2 linked regions of the Caenorhabditis elegans genome follow. The protein of the gene in region 2 interacts with the protein of the main gene of each other region in a pairwise test. Each region holds a gene or a part of one and is shown on either strand. Other genes may lie near its edges.

Region 1 (12,038 bases), on a different chromosome or scaffold from region 2:
AATCCCGGGAGCTATCCCGCCCTCTCTGCACTCTCTCTCTAATATTCTATTCTTGCTCTTCTATTTTCACTTCGGGAGCCCAACCAACACCTACCCTCCTTCGTTTTCCGATGAACTTGTGTTTAGAGACATAGAGATATCAGAGAAGGGACACAAATTTTGTTTTTAACAAATCGCCGAGAAATTTGAAGAAAGGTGATGAAAAACTGGGTGCTATTGTTAGCCAGTGGGGAATGTAACTGGGAATACCCTAGGGTTATGAAACTTTTCAGTTCTTACACAGGTAAAGCTGGATTTTCCAAATCATCAATCGGTTCCTCTGCAGTCTCGATTAAAATATTTGATATTTTCGTCAGGGATTTTGAAGACAAAAAGTTACTTTTTTCAAAAAAATGTAAAACTGTAAAAGGTAAAAATTTAATAGTTGGAAATATGTGATAACAGAGACGTTTACCTGATGGCAGGAGGTGTGATCCATTATATTCCATTATATTCGCGCACTCTTAACATTACACTAGTGCTATCTGAACAGTTGCGAAGAAGATCACAACAACAGTTTCAGATTTCAAGTTTTCCTGATTGCGCACCGTGTTGTTCATTTAACCATGTTTAAAATTAAATATGAAATAAGGTGCTTTGAATAATTTTTAACGATGCTTGAAAAATAACTTCTTCTACAAAAATGGTTAATTTCTATGTACAATTTTTCTTTTATAAATTATACTGACTCTCAAACCCATTTTTCTGTTCTTTGTTTTCTGTTTTTCATATTTTCTCGACTTGACTGTTTTGCACCCCCTCTGCAATCATTTTTGTTGACCCATACGTTGCCATCACGTACCAAGTCCAAGCTATGGTATCTGTTAGCAACAGTTGTCACTAATCACATGGCTCTTTTTCTCTGTTTTTATTCATTTTCTTCAGTATCTCGTGAAGAAAACAATGTGTTGATTGGTCTTTCAATTCTTGCAACAGATGCATTAGATTCAGGGCGCCGGAAGTGCAAGAAGTGGGCGCTAGTGAAGAATTGAAAAATATGCCAAACATCTGGATAAAAATAAAAAATTAACTTGCAGATAAAGAAAAAACATTGTGGTTGATCAGAAATGATAATTGGTTGGAAGCCAAACTTTAACGTTGGTTGACCAAAAATACATTGAACTAATTGGGTTATTCGTGAAATTAAAACGTATATTTCAGTGCACTTTTTGACTAATTGTAACCTGAAAAATATATATGTATTCCAGAACAGTTTTTGACCTTCTTACTCTTAGAAATCTTAAATATGTATTGAAAAATTGAAATGATCGTAACACAGTCAGTTTGGCCATACTATTTTTTTGGGTTCTAAAGTCAGCGGAGCGAAGCTGATTGCTGAATTTTTTGAGCACAATACCCAATATGTACTTCGTGAGTTCCGAAAACATATGAAATGTAACGAAACTTGAAGATCTAGTTCATCACATAATCCTGAAAACACTGATTGTGAAAAAGCAATCACACACAAAACTCAAAATCGGCCACCATAAACCTTTTTGCGGCCAGACCCTTTTGAATTAATCTGTGTGCCTTTAAGAACGCGTTTCAGAAATTGCAAATATACAATTCTATATCATTCAAATAGCATCTGTTCAATGATCGGTAGTTTCAGAACATATTCCAAAGATCAATTGTCATTTTAGAACTGATAATTAAACTTTCTTCACCTACTTCTATTTTCAGGAGATTAGTATTTTAAGAACTATGACGTAGTGGAATGTAAAACTATGGCACGTGACAAATTATGCAGTTAATTACAGAATAATCTCTAATTAGCCTGCACTTTTATTTTCGAAAGAAATACTCATGTTTTGTCGGGAAAATTATTTTATTCAAGAACTTATTATAGCCGGCAGTGATAGAGTACAGGTTAAAATAAATTACTGAAAATATATGTCAACCTGATCTTTGTTGCAGCCTTATCAAGCAAAATTCAAAATTAACGAAAACAGAGACTATAATCACTTGTTTCATTGGTTTTCATCAAACAGTTCAAATAGTTCAGAATGGAGAAGTAATTGAGAATTTATTTTTTTATTCGGTTTGACTGATTGCCTACAATGGTAAAAGATATTCCAATATTTCGATTTTTAATTATGTTTGTTGCATTTTTCTGTCTAATGAGTATATTTTCGAACTATACAGTCATAAATTTTACATTCATTTGTATGAAGAATGACTCATCTGGTATTAGGACATCTCCAAATGGAGTAAGTTACTGAATCAAAAAAAAGTTAACGCCTATTTCCAGACTGAATACAATATTTATGACTATTCGAGTGATGAAAAAGCAGAAATAATATGGGCGGTAGCAATTGGAACTGTACTAGGAACTGTTCCATATAATTGGTGCTATGTTAAATTTGGAGCAAGGTAAATATTTTTGGAAGTAATTTCTAATACATATTAACATTATTCCAATAGGTTCACATTTCTCTCGGCTGGAATTCTCTCATTTATATCGACTGTATTAATTCCCACAATGGCTTCAACCAACTTCTATCTACTTTTAATCATTCGATTTTTTCAAGGAATTTCTTATGCAGCAGACTTTGCAGTTATTGGAATAATTTGTATGAAATGGGCTCCGCTTGACGAGAACGCATTTTTCGTCTCTGCTCTAACGATATTCTCACCGTTTGCCACCTCAATTACGGATTCGTTAACGGGATGGGTAGGTTCACTAGAATTAGTATAAAATTTAAAGTTTTGAATTTTTATTACTTACTAAAGGCAGCATAAGTGGGAAGAACTAATTCACTAATTGTTCAGTTTCCCATATTTTAGTTCTGCACAACATCTTTTGGATGGGAATCTTCATTTTACGTACACTCGATTGCTAGTGTTATCTGTTTTATTTTATGGGTTTTTTTATTCGGATAATCCAGCGACTCATCGATTTGTTGGGACTCGAGAATTGGAACATATTCAAGATGGAAAATCACTTGAACATTATGAAACTAAAAGGTATTAGTTTATCAAAAACGTATAACCAGCCGAAACTTCAGAATAATACCATACTTTGCAATGATAAAGAATCCGGCAATAATTTGTTGCTGGTTCAATGCTTTCATGGATTTATCAATGTCAATCCTTCTGATAACCTACTCTCCAATATATTTCAATCAAGTTTTGAAATTTACAATCGAACAAACTGGATTTATTATCAGTATAACCAATTTTGCACAGATCCCTTTCAAATTACTCGCTGCGTATATTAGTGATAAAGTTACATTTATTAGTCCTCGTACTAAAATGCTAATTTTCAATTTTATATCATGTGGTATTGTGTCTATTCTATTTGGAATCGTTGGATTTGTTGATGAAGCTCATCGCTGGTGGGCTATGACCTTGGTTACAGCTGTTAACTGTTCGTTTTGAAATTATTTTTGAAAACTATGGTATATGTTTAGGTATGATGTCTACAAACTGTGGTGGATATTATCAATGTGCAAGATACGTGGCATTACAGTATGCGGACGTCGTGATTGCTGCAATACAATTTTGCAAAGCAATTGCATTATTCTTTGTTCCAGCATTAGTAGCTCTGACAGTTCACGATGAGAATAGCCGGGCACAATGGGCAACTGCGTTTTGTATTAATTCAGGCCTATTGCTTGTGGTAGGTGAACATTTTAGTCTAAATAATAAATTTTTAAATTATTTCAGGCAACGTTCACCTCATTTTTTTTCTTCTCGGATAAACCAGCTGATTTTACAATCACAAAAAAAGCGGATGATGCAGAACAATGTTGCAAACTATAGAAAATAATATACTTTTGATAAATAATGTACATACATATTTTCACAACTAAACTTCTCGTTTTTAGCACAATTTTATTCAAATATAAGTTTTTCAGAAGCTTAAATTTTGAAATTGTTATCTGGAAAGCGGAGTTTACAATCCGAAACTTTACTTTTTGTCTCAAACTATAAAATTGCTGCTATATAATTATAATTGGTAATTATAGCTGTTAGGGAGATATATGTATCACGAGAAAGTTGTTTATAAAGCTCATGGTAAAAACATTTTCACTTTCAAACAAAACACTAAAACAAATTTTGCCAACTCTCACTTTTCCTTTGGTTTTCATTTGAAAAAAATGAACGATGAGTTAGACATAGACACATTGTATTCAATTATTCTTCTCTCTGATTATTTTCTAAAAGCCCAACTAATATTATCAATAATATCATTAGTTTTGACTATTCCACATATTTTTATTTTAACGAGAAGCTCAATAAGAACATCAAGTACAAATTGTTTATTAATTGGCATCGCAATTTCTGACTTGTTTTTGCATTTGGGAAACTAAATGATAGAATTGAACTAGATTGGTATTTTCTTGATCCATGCGTGTTCAATAGTTCTTATTACGTCAATATTTATTTTCTTGTTAAAGACTTTTTGAAGGATACTTTTGAAAAATCTTCTTTTTCCTTGGGATTATTTTTAGCATTAATCCGATTTATTCTCATGAAACTTTCTGGTGATGCTCCGACTTTGTCAAGTAACTCATTTGGATATTTATTGGTAGTCGGTGTAATTCTGATCAGTTCCCTTCCTTCTGGTATCTATTATACAGGATATGATTTGATTGGTGCACCATGGGATGAAAAGTGAGAAAGATTCATTTTACAAAGAACCTTGAAGTAACGTTTATCTTTCAGTTGCACGGGAGTACCAGAAAACTTCACTAATATGTTTTACGATCACCAGATTGGAGAACATCCTATTATTTCGATAGACAATTATCGATACACAACTGGGAGTTTTCGGGTAGGAAGACTTTAAAATTTTTTTTTGGATTTTGCTTTACGCTTTCTAGGATATAGCTAAACTTCCGAGTAGCAATTTGATCTGACAAGTATGCGATTGGAAATCTGAGATTATTAGAATTTGGAACAACTCAAAATTAATGTAATTTTATTGCCCGCAATTTTAGAATAGTTCCGTTTTTTTTTTTGAATCGTATTGGAATTGTTTGAATGATTATTTTTCAAACTTCGAAGTATTTTTACTAGATTTATTAATACAAAAACATAAACTCATTTTTTGGTTTCAGATGATCATCACAATTGTTTATCCAATTTTTGGTGCACTTTTAATGTTTGAAATCATTAAATCTGCACGCTTCGCATCAGTGACACTCAGTAGACAAGATGCAATAGAACGGTATGCCAGCTGATTTGATTATTAACTTAACTATTAAATTCAATTTCAAGATATCGGTCGGGAAGGATGATAATGTGCATGACAATCTTCTACACAATTTCAAGTCTTCCTGGTGGTGCATTTGAATTTATCTGGATATTCATTAATCCACAATTTAATACAATTCTCCACATGGTTCTCTTGTATGGCGATGTTTGGGTTGATACATTTTTCTGTTTCAATGCGGCTGCACATTGTTTAATCAATTTTTCAATGTCACGGAATTATAGATCAACTGTGATGAAAGCGTTGCATATCGAGAATTGATGGTTCGATTTTTATTTGGGGCATTATAACTTTATATTCCGGACCATTTGTAGAATCGCTTTCAATTGTATCTTGTTTTTTTGATAAAACCCCAATTTCTTCCATAGTCTGCTAATATATACGTGATTTGCAACTACGATTCAATTCAAAAATATTATGTTTTTTCGAGTCCTGAACTTTTTCTACCTTATACACTAATTTACGATATAAATTCCTCCTTCCTATTTTTCTAGAGTTTAGAGGTTCGTAGATCCACTTCAATTAATTTGAACTATTTTCTAGAATATAATTTTGCATTCAGTGGACAAAGTCAAAAACATAGCTTCAGATCAGGAAACTATTGAGCAAAAAATATTTTCCTTAATAGTATTTTGTCGTAGTAGTCTTGGTGTAAAGGTGTGGTAGATTCAGTCACGTGGTGTCAGGCTGTCCCATTACGGGTTGATCTACGAGAAATCAGGAATTTCTCGAGCATAAACATGCTCTCAACCATGCGGAATCTGCTGAGAAGTCTGCGTCTAAATTTAAGAATTTTTTGTAGATTGTACCGATATGGGACACTCTGACACCATGTGGTCAGTTCCGTCAAGTATACAAATGAACCAAAAATACTGAATATTTATTTTTTAATCACTAGCATGTTTCACACTTTTTGTAATTTTCAGTATGTTCTTAAAGTTAGTTTAAACTTTATCACATTAAGCATTCTTGTATGTTCGAAACCCTACAAATCAATTACAAATTAATTTAATGTAATCCAAGTTAAAAGTTTTTTGGTCAACCTTCAAAACTATGAAATGTGAAAACTGAGTCATTTCTACCGTTGTGAGCATCATATAGTGATTTTAAAAGTTTTTACTATTGGCGTTTCACCAAATTTAAAATGGACTTTTAGTCGTTGAACAAAGTTGATATTTACAATAGAATTATCTAAAAAGAACCAATTATATCCTTTGTCGTTGATCTATGATTTCATTTTAAGTGACAATTATTGAGTCAGTGAGCAAAGTAACAATTTGTAACGACTATATTTACTCGAACTGTGTTTCTATTTACTTCTTGTAGACAGTATATAAATGTCTTACAAGAATCACTCTGAATTTTGTGTTCACAATGTTTTCAATTACATATATTGCTCTTTCTGTTTTCTTTTTGATTCATTGCTCCGATGCTTTACTCAATGTTATCGGAAGCACTCAAAGTGTTACTGTAACGGGAAAATTGGTTTGTGAAGGACAGCCAGCCAGTGGAGTTCTCGTGAAGATGTATGACGATGGAACGAGTAAGTTATTATTTGGAAGAACTGTTTTGAAACAATTGATTTTTTCAGTATATGACTCGAAATTAGGTTCGACGACCACCTCATCTGATGGAACATTTTCTGTTTCTGGAACATATACAGATATTTTAACATTGGATCCAAAAGTGAATATATATCATAGTTGTAATTACAATGGACCATGTTCAAAGAAAGTGACAATCAATATTCCTGATTATGCAGTTGCATCTGGAAGTAGCTCGACTGATAATTATGATATTGGAACTTTGAACTTAGCTAATCAGTTCAGTGGAGAAACCACTGATTGTATCCATTGAATGTGTACTTCCTAATAAATTTGTTTCTAGAATAATTGAAATGGGACATCTAGGAAGAGTGAATTCAGTTCATTTTTAAAATTGTAACTAAAAAAGCAGTAGCGCAAAAAATGCTACAAAAAATGAATAGAATGAGTGGGGGCACCTGGAAGAAGAGAAAAAAGAGGATCTAGAGTATTTTTGGAGACAAAAAGGTTCACTTAGTGAACAAATATTCAGAATTGTACAATTTCAACTATGTACAACTATTATCAACCCGGAGCAAAATGTAAACACACGGGTACCTAGGAGGAGAGGGCAAAGAGAGAGAGAGTGAAAAAAGACTACAAAAAAGAGGTCTACACAAAATATACAAGATAATTGGGAGGGGGGGGGGGGGGTGGCAGTAAAATTTAGAGATTTTCAGACTAACAATTATCATTGGGTGCACGGAAATACTTTTAATACTTCTCCCATTCCTTTGGTTTTTCCTTGACGAAGAATAATTGGTGATCCTTCACGAATGACTTCTGGTTGATAGGCGAAACACATTTTAACTACAGCCCATTTTCCTGGACGGATGCAGTCTGCATCGTCGATGTGAGTAATAATGGCAGTTGTACAGACACTTCCGATAAACACTGAAAAAGTTCATAAATTATTTCAGAAAAAATCAAAACTGAAAGTTGAAATGAGAAAAAGTACTCACCTGTGGCTTGAAATCCTTCGCATATGTATTTCGTCGAGTGACACAGCAGTAAAAGATTGGCAGTGAATTCGTAACAAACTGGTGGTTGATGATCGATTTCAGCAAGAACCATTCCCTTTAATGAAAATAATCAATATGTTTCACATTTCGAATGATTTTTCTGTGGAAAAAAATACTTACCCTTCTTAGACTGACACCGTCTGGAAGATTCAAGGATATCGATGCAGCTTCACCAGGATTAACACATCCTACGGCTTGCCGGCTTCTTCGAATCGACCCGACAGTAATTTTTTCAAAAGTTCCATCTTTCATGGGTCCAACAAGAACATCTGCTCCTTCATGCAATTGTCCTTCAGATAGCATTCCTCCAACTACTTGTCCAACATGAGGCACATTATATAGTTCCTCGATTGTGAAAAAGGCTGGGAGTCCAACTAGTTGAATACGTGACTCTGCAGTTCCAGCTGTAGAAAGGCAATTGAGAAGTGTTCTGAGACAACGAAAACCTTCTCCGCTCACTGAACTAACAGCAAGAACTGGTACGATACTACCAACGCAGAGTTCTTGTGCCGCCTTCACTGCGTCTCTTTTAGTTTTCACTCTTTTCTCGCGAGCTGTCATCCCTGCTTTCGCAACAAGATTGGAAACATCTTTGATGATTTTCTTAAGTCCTTGTCGATCGACTAGATCCATTTTTGTGATCAGTACAAACATTGGAATGTTTAAAGCGGCAATTAATCCAAGATGTTCACGAGTGGCCCACGTGATTCCTCGATCGGCGGCTACAACAAGGCAAGCGAAATGAGGAGTGTATCCGGTTAATCCATGAATTGTCGTTTTCTGATATTTTGCGTCTCCAGCCAGATCGATAAGTGTTACAAGTTTTGAAGACTTCTCCACCATTTCTTCGAGACTATTTTGTGCATAATTGACTAGCTGAAAAAAGTAAAAATTAGATATTTATAAATAAATTTAAAAAAATCGAATTTAAGTTTTTCAAATAAAATTTTTCTAAATTCATTGTTTTTGTATTCAAAAGTGGAGTAGAATCATTTTGAAATTTTGTTTTGAATGAAAAAAAAATTGACCGTAATAATCGATTTTAATTGATTTTAAAAGTTATAAAATCTTTCTAACTTTTTAAATTTTTATTTTTGATAATTGGGCGGGAATTCAAAAACAGATTTTTATTTTTTTATTTTTGCAAAATTGAAAAAATTATAAAAATTTTATGATTTTTTGAAACAATTATATTCGGTATTACCGTCCATTTTTTTAATTATTTAAATCAAAAACCCTAATAAATAGGATCCAACTTTAAAATTTTCAATAAAGAAATTATCTACAATTTAATCAGTTTACTGTTTTTTTTTTTAAATATTTTCAAGCATATTTTAACCCATTCTGAATGTTTCGAAAAATTTCTAACCTTTCCACGATTATCGAAGCCAATGACATCATTACAGACAGAACTGGTTTTTCCTGTTCGCACTTCGTGTGGAAATCTGAATATTCCAATTCTTGCTTTTCCGTTTCCGTCGTCCAGACAACCCTGTGTTAACACTCCACACAGTGTTGATTTTCCGACATCGCATCCTCCAACGACAGCAAGACGAACTTCGATGAATTGCTGGCTTTCAGGAACCTTTCGGACAAGTACCTAGAAAAATAATTTCATTTAGATAAAATATGACTCAATAATAATTACCTCGACTACAGTTCTCCGTGAATTTGATCCCTTAACAGTAACGTCTTTCTCGGTCAAAATAACCATACTCGCCCCAAGAGCTTGGGCCATCGTTCTCAAGGTCCGAAGTGAATCATTCAGTTCCTCGTCTGTTAATCCAGACATTATTCCACCATCCTCAACGCCAATTTCATAAATAGCCTCTCCTTGACCCTCACGAAGACGCCATTTCATTTGAGTGATCAGATGTTGTATACGAGATGTCGTTGGATTTACTAATTTTGCTTTGTACTCAATATTTCCAAGCTCCGTTTCAGGTGGCAATCGGTTTTCGGTGTCGGAGTCGGAACATTCATCGTTAGTTGGCAGTGAAGAGCTGAGAAGTGTTGGTCCATTTTTAGAGTCCGATATTGATTGTCGTCTGTAAAAAATAATATAATATACTACCTTAAATGATTTGGCGACATTAAATAAATTGAATTGATTTTATATCAATGTTTTAGAATTGATTTATTTTTTATAAGGAATTTAAATAAATGAATTTTGATTTTAGAAATAAAATTTTCAAATGTTAACCACACAATATTTATCGTACTCACCTAGTTTTGTAAAGTGGCTGATGATTCTGCTCATCGCAGAAATGTGAAATCATAAAATCCATAGTGAGATTGAGTTGTTTATTATTTTATGAAATGAGATAATCAGTTGGATAACTACTGCTCACGCCGTATTCGATCTATCATTCGATTCTCCGATTCTGGAACATCAAATTTTAATCATAGGGAGAGAGGTTCGGGTACTTGAGAAAAAAATGTCGTGTTTCGAGAGGTTTTGAAAAGTCAGTTGTTAACTGGTTCGGTCAACATGTAGAGATTGTAGAGAAATATGAGAACTTAGAGAATTGACGTATGAAGAGAAAAAAGTGGGAAAGGGGAGCCGCTGTTGTTTTCGAAAGAAGAAAATAAGACAGAAAAAATCGGAGAGGAACATAACAACAAGTTAAGTTGACTTTTGAACTGGAAATTTGTCAATATTGAAAAAAGGAACAGTGAGAAATATCGATTTCCACGTCGCTCGATTCTATGAAAAGAAATTATGCACACACAAGCTTCACAGTGAGCATGCTGAATGATTGAGCAAATACATGAGAGAATAAGAGAGGAATGAGATGAAAAGAAGCGTTCAAATCAAAAGAAACCAGACAAAATGGCGATTTTTTACGGGAATATGAACCTACTGATTGGCAGTGGACAGCTGGAAGAATAAGAAGATACTGAAGGAAGGTTGAAGTTGAAGCTTGGAAGACAGATGATGAGAGAGAGGAAAACCTGTTTCTTTTTGATTACGATCGGACGGAAATGAGAAGGAAGTAAGTGTTTTCACACGTAGGTGGGCATTGAGATCTTTGAAGGTGCATTCGACAGGTTAATAATCATTCTAAATACCAGGTGACAATGGAGGATACTTTTAAACAGTAAATATATTGGAATAAAACATAAAAGTTAGTCTTACTCAGAATTTCTAAAATTTCAGCCTTCTGGAACGAAAGGTAAAATCATAATAATAATACAAGTGGGGCTGTTAGTAGCCCTAAATACAAGTAAAATGACCGAACACAGCCGTTAAAGAATGTTGCAGAAAATTGCGAAATATTTCCTTACTCTTAAGAACAACATTCGATGTGACGCAATATGATGCATTTCCTTAGACAAAAACGTTCAGTTCAAAATAAACAACAATAAAACCGTTTGTACGATTTCTAGAATACGAGTTTATCAGTTGTTCGGAAAATATCTTATCAATCGTTTGACTGATGTTTTTTAACCATGTGAGAATTTGAAAAAAAATTTCATGATTGCCAAAAATTAAAATAAACAGGAAGCTTTTACCGAGTTTTCGTGATTTTCAGAATGAAGAAATTAATATGAAGCTCAAAATCAAAAGCAGAGGGAAAAGAAAAAATCGAAATCTTCTTTCGGTTAAACAACACGCGCTTGCGGAACTTCGGAGCATCGTATTTTGTTTTTGCGCTCTATTTTTGAATCGGAAACTGTTTTTTTGTCAGTTTTCGAAATTGTTTTTTTTCTGTTTTTTTACTTCATGCAAGAGTTTAACTTTACGCAAAAATTAATTAAAAATACGCAGAAGGCCCACTTTACACAGGAATTAATTGAAAATACTCAGGAATTTCACTTTACTTAGTCCTTTTTCCAGAGTTTCCAACGGAATCAATATATTAATTTAATTTCGCAACATTTTTCTTTGAATAAACCTATTTGCAAATGAGAATGTTTCAGATATTTGCTTATCGAAGCCTGGGAATTGCTTATGGCGAAATTTTTACGCGTAAGTCTGCAAATTTATTTTTACTCTGAAAATACTAAATTTATGAAAATTTCAGCTACACATCAGAGGAATTCGAAGTGTCGGTGATGAGGACCACGATGTTCACAAAATTGATTTCCTCTCTCCGTGCACACTAATCAGTGGACCAAATGGAACAGGAAAAACGGTAAGATCAATATGATTAGAGCATCATAACTTTT
Region 2 (9,875 bases):
CTATCTCGCAAATGTCCAAGACAAAAATGTGTATAGCGGAGATGGAAGCCGCCTTCTTTGGCTGCAACGAGGAACGATTCTTGGAGAAAGGCCGATGGGGGCTCCATGAGCTCCTGTTCGACGGAGCGCGAATGCTGGGAGCAGCTGCAGGGATCAGAGAACACCCAGAGCAGCAGCATAACAAAAAAAAACCAATAAAGGTTTCGATTTCAGGAGAAATTCAGCTACACGGAAAATTTTCAAAGTCCCAACCTCTTATACTTTGGGTTAATTCTCGGCAGAATTACGAAAAATTTCGCAATTTTCGGCAACAGTTTCCCACTCGGATCGCTAAAGTTCTAAGGAATTTTCAAATTATTTTTTGAAAACTGTAGAACATTCAAAATGTGGTCGCTAAATTGTTCTAGTGCATTTATTTTTCCACTTCTACGATTTTAAAGGGAGGCGCATTTATGCGGATTGGTCTTGCCGCGCGTTTAGTCATCATTTTTAACAGTCTCTGTTCAAAATTCACGTAGATCACGCGTAGATCTCAATTATTTTGTGAAAAAGTAACAGAGATATATAATATATAATATACTCATAGATATATAATATATAATATACTCATATATATATACTATATATACTGTTACTTTTTCACAAAATAATTTAGACCTACGCGTGATCTACGTGAATTTTGAACAGAGACTGTTAAAAATGATGACTAAACGCGCGGCAAGACCAATCCGCATAAATGCGCCTCCCTTTAAAATCATAGAAGTGGAAAAACAAATGCACTATAACAATTTAGCGAATTTTTTTTGAAATTTTGAATCGAACCTTATTTAGGAACTCTCAAGTACCTGCCTGTTTAATTGCTCCCAATATCTTATCACCTGTCCATTATCACTATTATCACTGGTCACTATCAACTCCCAACCTTCTTCATCAGTCTGCTCATTTACCCCCACTCTCCCTTTTCTCTTCTTTTCCTGAAAAATTCCTTCTAAATTCTCCAGAAAAGCCATGAACAAGCTGCACAAGGGATGGTTCACCGAGTTCTCGCCGGATGACCTGGAAAAGATGAACGGAGCCTCCGACGAGGAGCCAACGAAGGTGCTCAAATCCGACGGACAAGAGATGGGCGGCGCGTGGCCGGGACAGGCGTTCTCGTTGCAGGTGAAGAAAGTGCTTTTCCACGAGAAGAGCAAGTATCAGGATGTGCTGGTTTTTGAGAGGTATTAAATGTGGTGTAGTCGAATTTTTTATTGCTCTATTAGACACGAAATTGTCTGAAAACACCGAATTTCATAAAGAAACTTCTTGAAATTTTCTCAAAAAAAAGTTATGATAGCTCAAAAAATGGCCTAAAATTAGATAAAATTTTTAATTTAACTTGTCAGCGCTGTCAGCTGGAAACAAATTTTTTTTTGAAATCACCGTCAAATTTTAGGTATACAAGTCATTTATCTTGCATTTTCAACAAGATTTTGGTATTTTAAAGTTGATAAACGGCGCGATTTTTTAATTTTTTAAACCAAATTTTGCCGTCCATCGACTTTAAGACACCTAAATCGAGTTGAAAACGCGAGATAATTACATTGTATACTTAAAATTAGACGGTGATTTCAAAAAAATTAGTTTCCAGCTGACAGCGCTGACAAGTCAAATTTCAAGTTTTAACTAATTTTAGGCCATTTTTTGAGCCGTCATAACTTTTTTTTGGGAAGTTTTCAAGAAGTTTCATTATGAAATTCGGTGTTTTCAGACAATTTTGAGAATAATGAAGCTATTTTAAAAAAATCCAGCACACCGCCTTAGAATTTTCAAAATTAATTACGGAATTCAAATTTTTTTCAGCACAACCTATGGAAATGTTCTAGTTCTAGACGGAATTGTTCAGGCAACTGAACGGGATGAGTTCTCCTACCAGGAAATGCTGGCCCATCTCCCAATGTTTGCCCATCCGGACCCGAAACGTGTAAGCTCGCTAGAAATGACATTTCTGGCTTGGAAAACTCCCTTTTTCGAGAAATTTTGATTTAAAAATCGCTAAAACCTCAAGATTTTCACTGAAATCGCCGCATTTCAGGTACTTATCATTGGTGGAGGAGATGGAGGTATTTTGAGAGAGGTCTTGAAGCACGAGTCCGTCGAGAAGGTCACAATGTGTGAAATAGACGAAATGGTGATCGATGTCGCGAAAAAGTATGATTTTTAAAAACACGGGGTTCTGGCCTTCCTCATTGAATTTTTCGCGCTCCATTGACAATCGCCTGCCGGACAACGCGTGGGAAAGTCGTGTACTTCACACGGACAAATACATTCATTTTTACAACTAAAATCGAGCCGCGACGCGACACGCAACGCGCCGTAAATCTACCCCAGATATGGCCGAGCAAAAATGCCTGGTTCGGCCTAAACTCTTCCATTTCAATTTATGAGGGAAGCCAGAAATCCGTGTTTTTCAACAAAAATTGGTTGAATTAACTTAATTCTAAAAAAAAATTTTAAATCTTTTAAAGGTTCCTGCCTGGCATGTCGTGCGGTTTCTCACACCCGAAACTCGACTTATTCTGCGGAGATGGCTTCGAATTTTTGAAAAATCACAAGAACGAGTTCGACGTAATTATCACGGACAGTTCCGATCCAGTTGGGCCGGCTGAATCGCTTTTCGGGCAAAGTTATTACGAGTTGCTGAGAGATGCGTTGAAGGAGGATGGAATTTTGTCATCGCAAGGTGGGAAATAACAAAAAAATCACTTAAAAATGAAGAAAATCGATAAAAAACTTAAGAAAACTTGAAGAAAACTATTTTAAATTAAAGAAGAGCAAACAAAAGTCAATAAGTTACAGCAAGTCATTAAAGGCGCATAGGCGGAAATATGCCAAGGGTCTCGCCGCGAAAATCAATTTATGGAGTTTTAACTTGATTTTGATTAAATTTTGAAGGTTTTAGCAAAGAAAAATATGTTTTGGGATTAGTTTAATAAATTACACTAAAAAATAAATTTGGAAACCAAGAAAAAAACAGTGGAAACTAAAAAAAATTAAAAATTATTGTTACTGTAGGCTATTAAAGGATCATAGGCGGCAATATGCAGCGGGTCTCGTCACGAAAACTAATTTATGGAGTTTTCAGCTTAATTTTCATATAATTTTGAAGTTTTTTAAAACAGAAAAATTCAATTTTAGGAGATTATGCTGAATTACATTTTGAAACCAAGAAAATCAGTGTAACGAAAAAAAGAAACTGGTTACTGTAAGACTTTAAAGGCGCATATGCTGAATTCGAAGGAATAAAATTGATTTTGAATTGTTTTTTTCGATTGAAAAACTTGAAAAAAAAATCACGTGACTAAATTTATTTCTTTACTCTAAAGAAATCCTTCTAGGCGAATGCCCATGGCTAGACATGAAGCTCATCTCTACCGTAATCCATTCGGCTCGTGACCTATTTCCCGTGGCAAAGTACGCGGTTGGCAGCGTGCCAACCTACACGTCAGGCCTGATGGGCTATATTTTATGCGCAAAGGATAAGGTGAACACTGGTGTGGTGTGATTTTTACTGTGTTGATTAACCTGATGAATGAAAATGCGCTCCATTGCACAATAACATTTCTGTGGTGATATGGTGTGATTAATATATATGAGTGACGTAACCACTTAAAAATAAATTCCCGCGGTTCCTGGAGGTCAAACGACTATTTCTAACCTGCAAACGCGCTCCATCGAACTCTCATGGTACAACCAACCCCTCTAATTGTAGTGCACCTCTAAAACTGTGTTAGTGAGTGATTTTCAGGAGAATCTGTGTGGCTTCACCTCCCACTAATCGCTCATCTCGTCGCCTTCAATCGAAAAATTTTCCCGGCCGTCACCTACGCCCAGTCGATCGTCTCTACCTACCCGTCTGGAAGCATGGGATACCTGATTTGTGCAAAAAATGCTGTGAGGAGAAGAAAACAACGAGAAAAAAAGAGAAAAATCACAATCTGATCGCGATCACCCCAAAACATTTTGCAAAATTTCGCAATACTTCACAATTTTTTTAAAAGCACGTTCAGTGTGTGGTGTTTGTGATTTTCCTTTTTTTTTAAGTAGCGAAATTTTGCGATTTTCAAGTGAAAAATACGGTACCGGGTCTCACCGCGACAAATTTTCATTAAATGCGAAAAGGTGTGCGCCTTTAAAGATTACTGTAATTTGAAACTTACGTATTTAGTTGCGGATTTTTTTGCTCGATTTTTTGGAAAAAAAATTATTAATATTATTAATTCATTTTTGAAAAATCGCGAGAAAAACTAGGAAAATCTATGAAAAACAACAAAAGTTTTGAACTGCAGTAATCTTTAAAGGCACATTTTCGTATCGAACGAGAACTTGTCGTGTAGAGACCGGGCACCGTAGTTTTGGCGCGAAAATTGCAAAACCTCGCGTTTGGATAATAGCAAAGTCAATTTTTTTTTCAATTTTTTATGTGGATTTTCAGATTTTTTTTTCGGGAATTTTTGTCTGCTTGTGAGAAAAATTTTTCCCGTGGTGCGAGAGTGTCTCATTTCAGAGTGATCTACGTAGATCTGCGAAAAGCGCGGGAGAAGAGACGCTGAGTTCCCAACTGATTTCGTATGATTAAGAACGTGCTGACGTCACATATTTTTGGAGCAAAAAATTCCCGCATTTTGTTTTAGATCAAACCGTAATGGGACAGCCTGACACCACGTGAGGCTACTTTCACTGTCGAATGAAGATCACCAACAAAATTTTCGATATTTTTAAGAACCGTGACGTCACGACTCCTGCTCGAACCCTCACTGCTGAACAGATCAAAGCCCTGAACTTGAGATTCTACAACTCGGAAGTTCACAAGGCGGCTTTTGTGCTTCCGCAATTTGTCAAAAATGCTTTGGAGTAGATGTCAAGAATTTAAAAATATTTAGAATAAAATCTGTTTTCTGTTTTACCTGTTTTCAATAAAAATTAATGTTTTTGAACCGCTCAACAAATTCCAGCTGTCCCAGGAAAAAAAATCAACAAATATTGTGAAATTCATGTTCTTCCTCACTCTAATTTTTGTCCAGGACATTCCCCTCCTTTTTAAGCGTTTTATCAGTTTCAGCACCTCCATATAACCCGTCCCCTCTCCATTTTGATATTAAACTTTTTCAAAAAGTGTACGTTTCGGACACTTTTTATTCGAACTGTTTTATTCAGCTCAAAATGGAGCGCTGCCCGGGGTGCCATTCTACAGCATGCGTTGGCTATTCCGGTGGAGATTGTTTTTACTTCAAGTTGTGCCAGGATTCGTTTCCTCGTCATGCACCGCGTCGTAGATCATCATCATCATCATCTTCTTCTTCTTCTTCTACTTCTTCTTCTTCGTCTTCCAACTCTTCAGAATCAGATGGTGGGTTTTGAACTCTGAGTTGAATTTCAGAGGAGTACCGTGTGTCCTCCAATTGTCCTTTCACGCCTCACTCAGCTGGGAGCCCTAGCGAAAATACGGTATCTGCGTGACAGAATGAATCGTTATTAATAAATTTTGCGACTACGGCACACGATGCCAGGCTGTCATATCACGGCTTGATCTACGAAAAATGCGGGAATTTTTCGCCCAAAAAAAAATGTACACGTTCTTAACCATGCAAAATCAGTTGAAAAGTCTGCGTCTATTCTTCCGCATTTTTCGGAGATCAAACCGAAAAGAACCATTCGTACCTAAAAAATCCAGGCCTGGATCTTTAGGAAGTCATCACAATTGTAATGTTTCCAGACCAAGTCGGCCAGCTGAGCACCCGGTACCAGAACCAGAACCTTAGTGAGTCATCTTCAGAAAGTTCGGTTAGCTCATCGGATGACTCATCTGATGACTCCTCAGATGACTCATGTTCAAATGACTCTTCAATGACTCTTTAGACGATTCAGACGATCAGGAAAACGATTATGAACAAGATGATTATTAACTTAAATTTCGATATTTTGCCATCAATCAAAAAATATACAAGATCATAGTTCAAAAATTTTTATTCATAAAGTTCCTATAACTTTGCCAAATGATTCTCCGACTGTGTGAACCTCTGCAATCGATTCTTGATTTGGTGGAGCTTCCCAAAGTTTGGCCGCATTCCGGTGTTCTGAATTTCAAAATTCTCGTACTTCCAATTAGTAGAACATTTTCAAACAACTCACCGAGTTCTCAAATACTCCAAAATCCGTCAGTGCGGCGAATGCATTTTTGATAGGCTCAGTTGATAGGAATGATAGTCGGATGTTGGGTAAGCGATCTTGATATGCTTCACTAATATTCTGCAATTCAAACGTGGAGTCAGAGTGTCTTATTGCGGTTTGATCTACAAAATACGCGGGAATTTTTCCCCCAGAAAAATGTGACGTCAGCACACTCTTAACCATGCGAAATCAGTTGAAGTCTGCGTGAAGTCTTCTCCCGCCTTTTTCCGAAGATCAAACCAAAATGGGACACTTTAACACCACGCGAATTCAGGAAAATTTAGTTATAACGGAGTCTCGTTCGGCTAGTAACCTCACCTTCTGCACAGTTCCCACCATCTCTGATAAACTGGAAACCATTGGCTTCTTCTCGGAAAACACGTTAAACGCTATCTCAAAATTATAAAAATATGGGAGCACAAGCTTGCTCAACACTTCTGCATTTTTCTCGTCTAGGATTTCGATTTTATTATCATCGGTGAATTGCAAGATTTCAGAAGCTCTCAGAATATCGAGAGTTGCGTCAAATAGTTGGGGAAGCTCTCCGGGAACCGTCACAAACTCTCGTTTCATTAGGAAATGGAGCCAGCTGAAAGTTGGTAACTATTATTAGTAACACGTGGTGCCAGGTTGTCCCATAACAGTTTGATCTACAAAAAATGCGGGAATTTTTTCCCCGAAAAATGTGACGTCAGCGCATTCCTAACCATGCGAAATCAGTTGAGAACTCTGCGTCTAAAATCCCGCATTTTTGGTAGATCACAACGAAATGGGACATTCTGACACCACGTGTAGTAGGGTATGTCCTATAATTGCTCACCAAAACTCTTCCTTCACCTTCGCCACGTCCGTTATTCCAGAATTTCTCAAGATTGTGCAAATGATGCCCTCACTGTCCACAGCATGTACCATCTGGAAATTGGAAATTAACAAATTTCAGAGAGCTCTAGCTCACCCCATTCGAATAGGTTGTCAAAATGAGCCGGCTCACTGCTCTCTCCATAATTTTGATAGGAACATCCTGCTTCTGATGAGCCACCGGAAAAGCGATAAATTTCAGCTGAAAATCGGGAGCGGAGCCTTCAAATGGCTCGAATAAATCTGCGTGCATTGTTAGGTAGTAGCTGAAACATTTAATTTTCAAAAGAGTCTTCAAATTTACTTGGCGAAAATTGCTGAATAAAATTTCCTGCATTTTCACGTGTTGTCAGGCTGTCCCACTGTTTGATCTACAAAAAATGCGGGTTTTTTTCCGCCCAAAAAATGTGACGTCAGCACGTTCTTAACCATTCAGAATCAGTTGAGAACGCTGCGTCTCAACTCCCGCATTTTTTGTAGATCTACGTAGATCAAACCGAAATGGGACACTCTGACACCACGTGCATTTTTCAAACTCCATCTTGAAGTTCACGAGAAAAAGGAAACTGATACCGTAAATTTTTGTCCAAATTTCCCTGAATGTTAACAACTGTGCCAAGATGATTTTGCAAAATGATAAGATTATTAACATCCGTATACAATCCGCAGTATGTGATAATCGCCTGATCATCCCTATCAAAAGTCTGCAAGAATGCCCTTACGAATGTCGAGAAATCTCGGCTCACCTGTAAAATAGCCATACACGCCACACTCCAGACCGTAATCACCGCATTCTGATTGTGAATTCCCACGACTCGATGCGCGAACCTTTTGATCTCCAGCTTCGCCTGCGCGTCGAGCACAAATTGTGAGTCTGGCTGACAGACAAACGTATTCCGGTGAAGGCTGACACCGAAATGGTCTCGGACGGAAATTGGCTCTCCGAATGTTAAGAAGCAACTTCCATGTGTGATCTTCAACATTTCCCGGGCTTTCAGTAGAGCTCCAGTTGACTCTTTTGGTTTCGGAAAGCCCAGAAGCTCATAAGCATAGAGCTTTTCCTCGAGGATTTTGTCATAGTTCATCGAAACCGGCACAATGACAATATCGTAGACGGAGCCACGTAGATATGGCTCCAGCACCATTTGGAGCATTCCATATTTGGGATGAAGAGATTTTCCAACACGGGAACGGGTGGCTTCCACGAAAAATTCGACGGTTCTGTCGTTATTGACAACGTGGGTTTGCACATACTCGGAGAAGACAGCCCAGTAGAGTTGGTCCTGGAAAATTGAAAAAAAAGCGTCCTGTCTAGATCGTACCCTTGATTTTTTTCTGCCAACTTTTCAGCTGAGTCAGCGCGGTCTACATATTTTTCGCGTGGTGATCTACGAGAATTGCGGGAATTTTGACGCGTCTAGACGCAGGTTTCTTAAGTGATCTTGCGTGGTCACATGTTTCTGGACGACAAAAAATTCCCGTATTTTTTGTAGATCAAACCGTAATTGGACAGCATAACATCACGTAGTACGGTTGTTCCTACAGTAGATTTTGTTCCGATTATACGACATTTAAAGGAGGACGCATTCATACAAAATGGTCCCGCCACGCGCCTCCTATTGATTTTTGGGGCGCGTGGCGGGACCATTTCGTATAAACGTGCCCTCCCACGTGGTGTCAGAGTGCTTCATTTCGGCTTGATCTACGTAGATCTGCGAAAAGCGCGGGAGAAGAGACGCTGAGTTCCCAACTGATTTCGTATGATTAAGAACGTGCTGACGTCACATATTTTTGGAGCAAAAAATTCCCGCATTTTTTTTAGATCAAACCGTGATGGGACAGTTGAGCAGCATGCGTCCTCCTTTGAAGTCGGAGAAATGGGAAAAATGCACTGTAGGAACGGCTGTATCATGTGGTGTGAAGCTGTCCAATTACGGTTTGATCTACAAAAAATGCGGGAATTTTTCGCGCAGAAAAATGAGACGTCAGCGCGCTATGTAAATTTGAAATCAGTTGAGAAGTCTGCGTCTAAAATCCTGCGATATTCGTAGATCAAACCAAAATGGGACACTGTGATGTCAGGTGTTATTTTGGTATTAAACTAGAAAATGGGTCAAAAAGTCACAGGTTTTTTTTTCCTTTTTTTCCGACCTTCACAATTTCAAAATTTATACATCTCACCGTCCCAAACGATCGTCTCATAAAAAATGCGCCAGACCGTCGCAACACGCCAGCCATAAACTTCATGCTCATAAAGTCCTGTCCCGCGGCAATCGCCGGCAATTGAATGTCCTGAAAACCGTCAAACCACAATATTTGCAGCCCAAAAGCGTGACCTTACATATTGAAAGCAGATGAGTGACAGGAGCAGGAAATCAAAGTACGTCTTGTGTGATGGCATAAAAATCACACAGTCCTTCTTACTGCGTTCTCGGATCTCCAGAAGCTTCTTCTCGTTTACATAAATCCCATCGTAAAGCTTCTCCATAGCCTTGCAAACTGCGTAGCCAAATGATCGGACATTATATAAATTAAAGGTATGGGACATCTCATCCAGGATCTCCTCTGCCTCCTTTCGAACTAGATCCGGACTGCATTTTCGACGAAGGGTCTCCTCGCTGATGACGCTCTGAAAGTTAAAACCTTTTACCTTTTTTGTGCAAAAAAAAAAGGATTCCGTCCGGTTGTAGTCTTGGAATTAACTCAAGTTTACTCTAGAACAACCGTAAACTAAAGTTCGAGAAATTGATAAAAAGTAGAGATTGATAAGAAACATCGTGGTTTCCGCATTTCAGAAGAAACTGTGT

What was found.
Region 1: the proteins of Y46G5A.20 (region 2) and slfl-5 interact in a two-hybrid assay, tested with the Caenorhabditis elegans proteins (2 studies listed by BioGRID).

Annotation. Positions count from the first base shown.
Region 1 is NC_003283.11:12,234,796-12,246,833, forward strand, and holds slfl-5 (Tr-type G domain-containing protein), read right to left. Parts: upstream 10,250-12,038; 5' UTR 10,236-10,249; coding exon of another isoform or gene 10,206-10,235; 5' UTR 10,154-10,205; coding exon 10,092-10,153; intron 9,914-10,091; coding exon 9,514-9,913; intron 9,466-9,513; coding exon 9,235-9,465; intron 8,742-9,234; coding exon 7,986-8,741; intron 7,921-7,985; coding exon 7,806-7,920; intron 7,738-7,805; coding exon 7,535-7,737; 3' UTR 7,176-7,534; downstream 1-7,175. Other genes in the region: ttr-22 (Transthyretin-like family protein), read left to right, coding at 6,635-6,803, 6,852-7,117; rad-50 (Zinc-hook domain-containing protein), read left to right, coding at 10,851-10,861, 11,790-11,838, 11,894-12,004.
Region 2 is NC_003280.10:12,805,899-12,815,773, forward strand, and holds Y46G5A.20 (Nuclear receptor domain-containing protein), read left to right. Parts: upstream 1-5,110; 5' UTR 5,111-5,202; coding exon 5,203-5,389; intron 5,390-5,755; coding exon 5,756-5,898; 3' UTR 5,899-6,020; downstream 6,021-9,875. Other genes in the region: spds-1 (PABS domain-containing protein), read left to right, coding at 1,009-1,220, 1,843-1,963, 2,075-2,190, 2,508-2,722, 3,378-3,533, 3,788-3,933, 4,763-4,897; acl-7 (Phospholipid/glycerol acyltransferase domain-containing protein), read right to left, coding at 6,021-6,116, 6,172-6,288, 6,529-6,799, 7,031-7,122, 7,166-7,334, 7,642-7,772, 7,815-8,351, 9,250-9,360 and 1 more.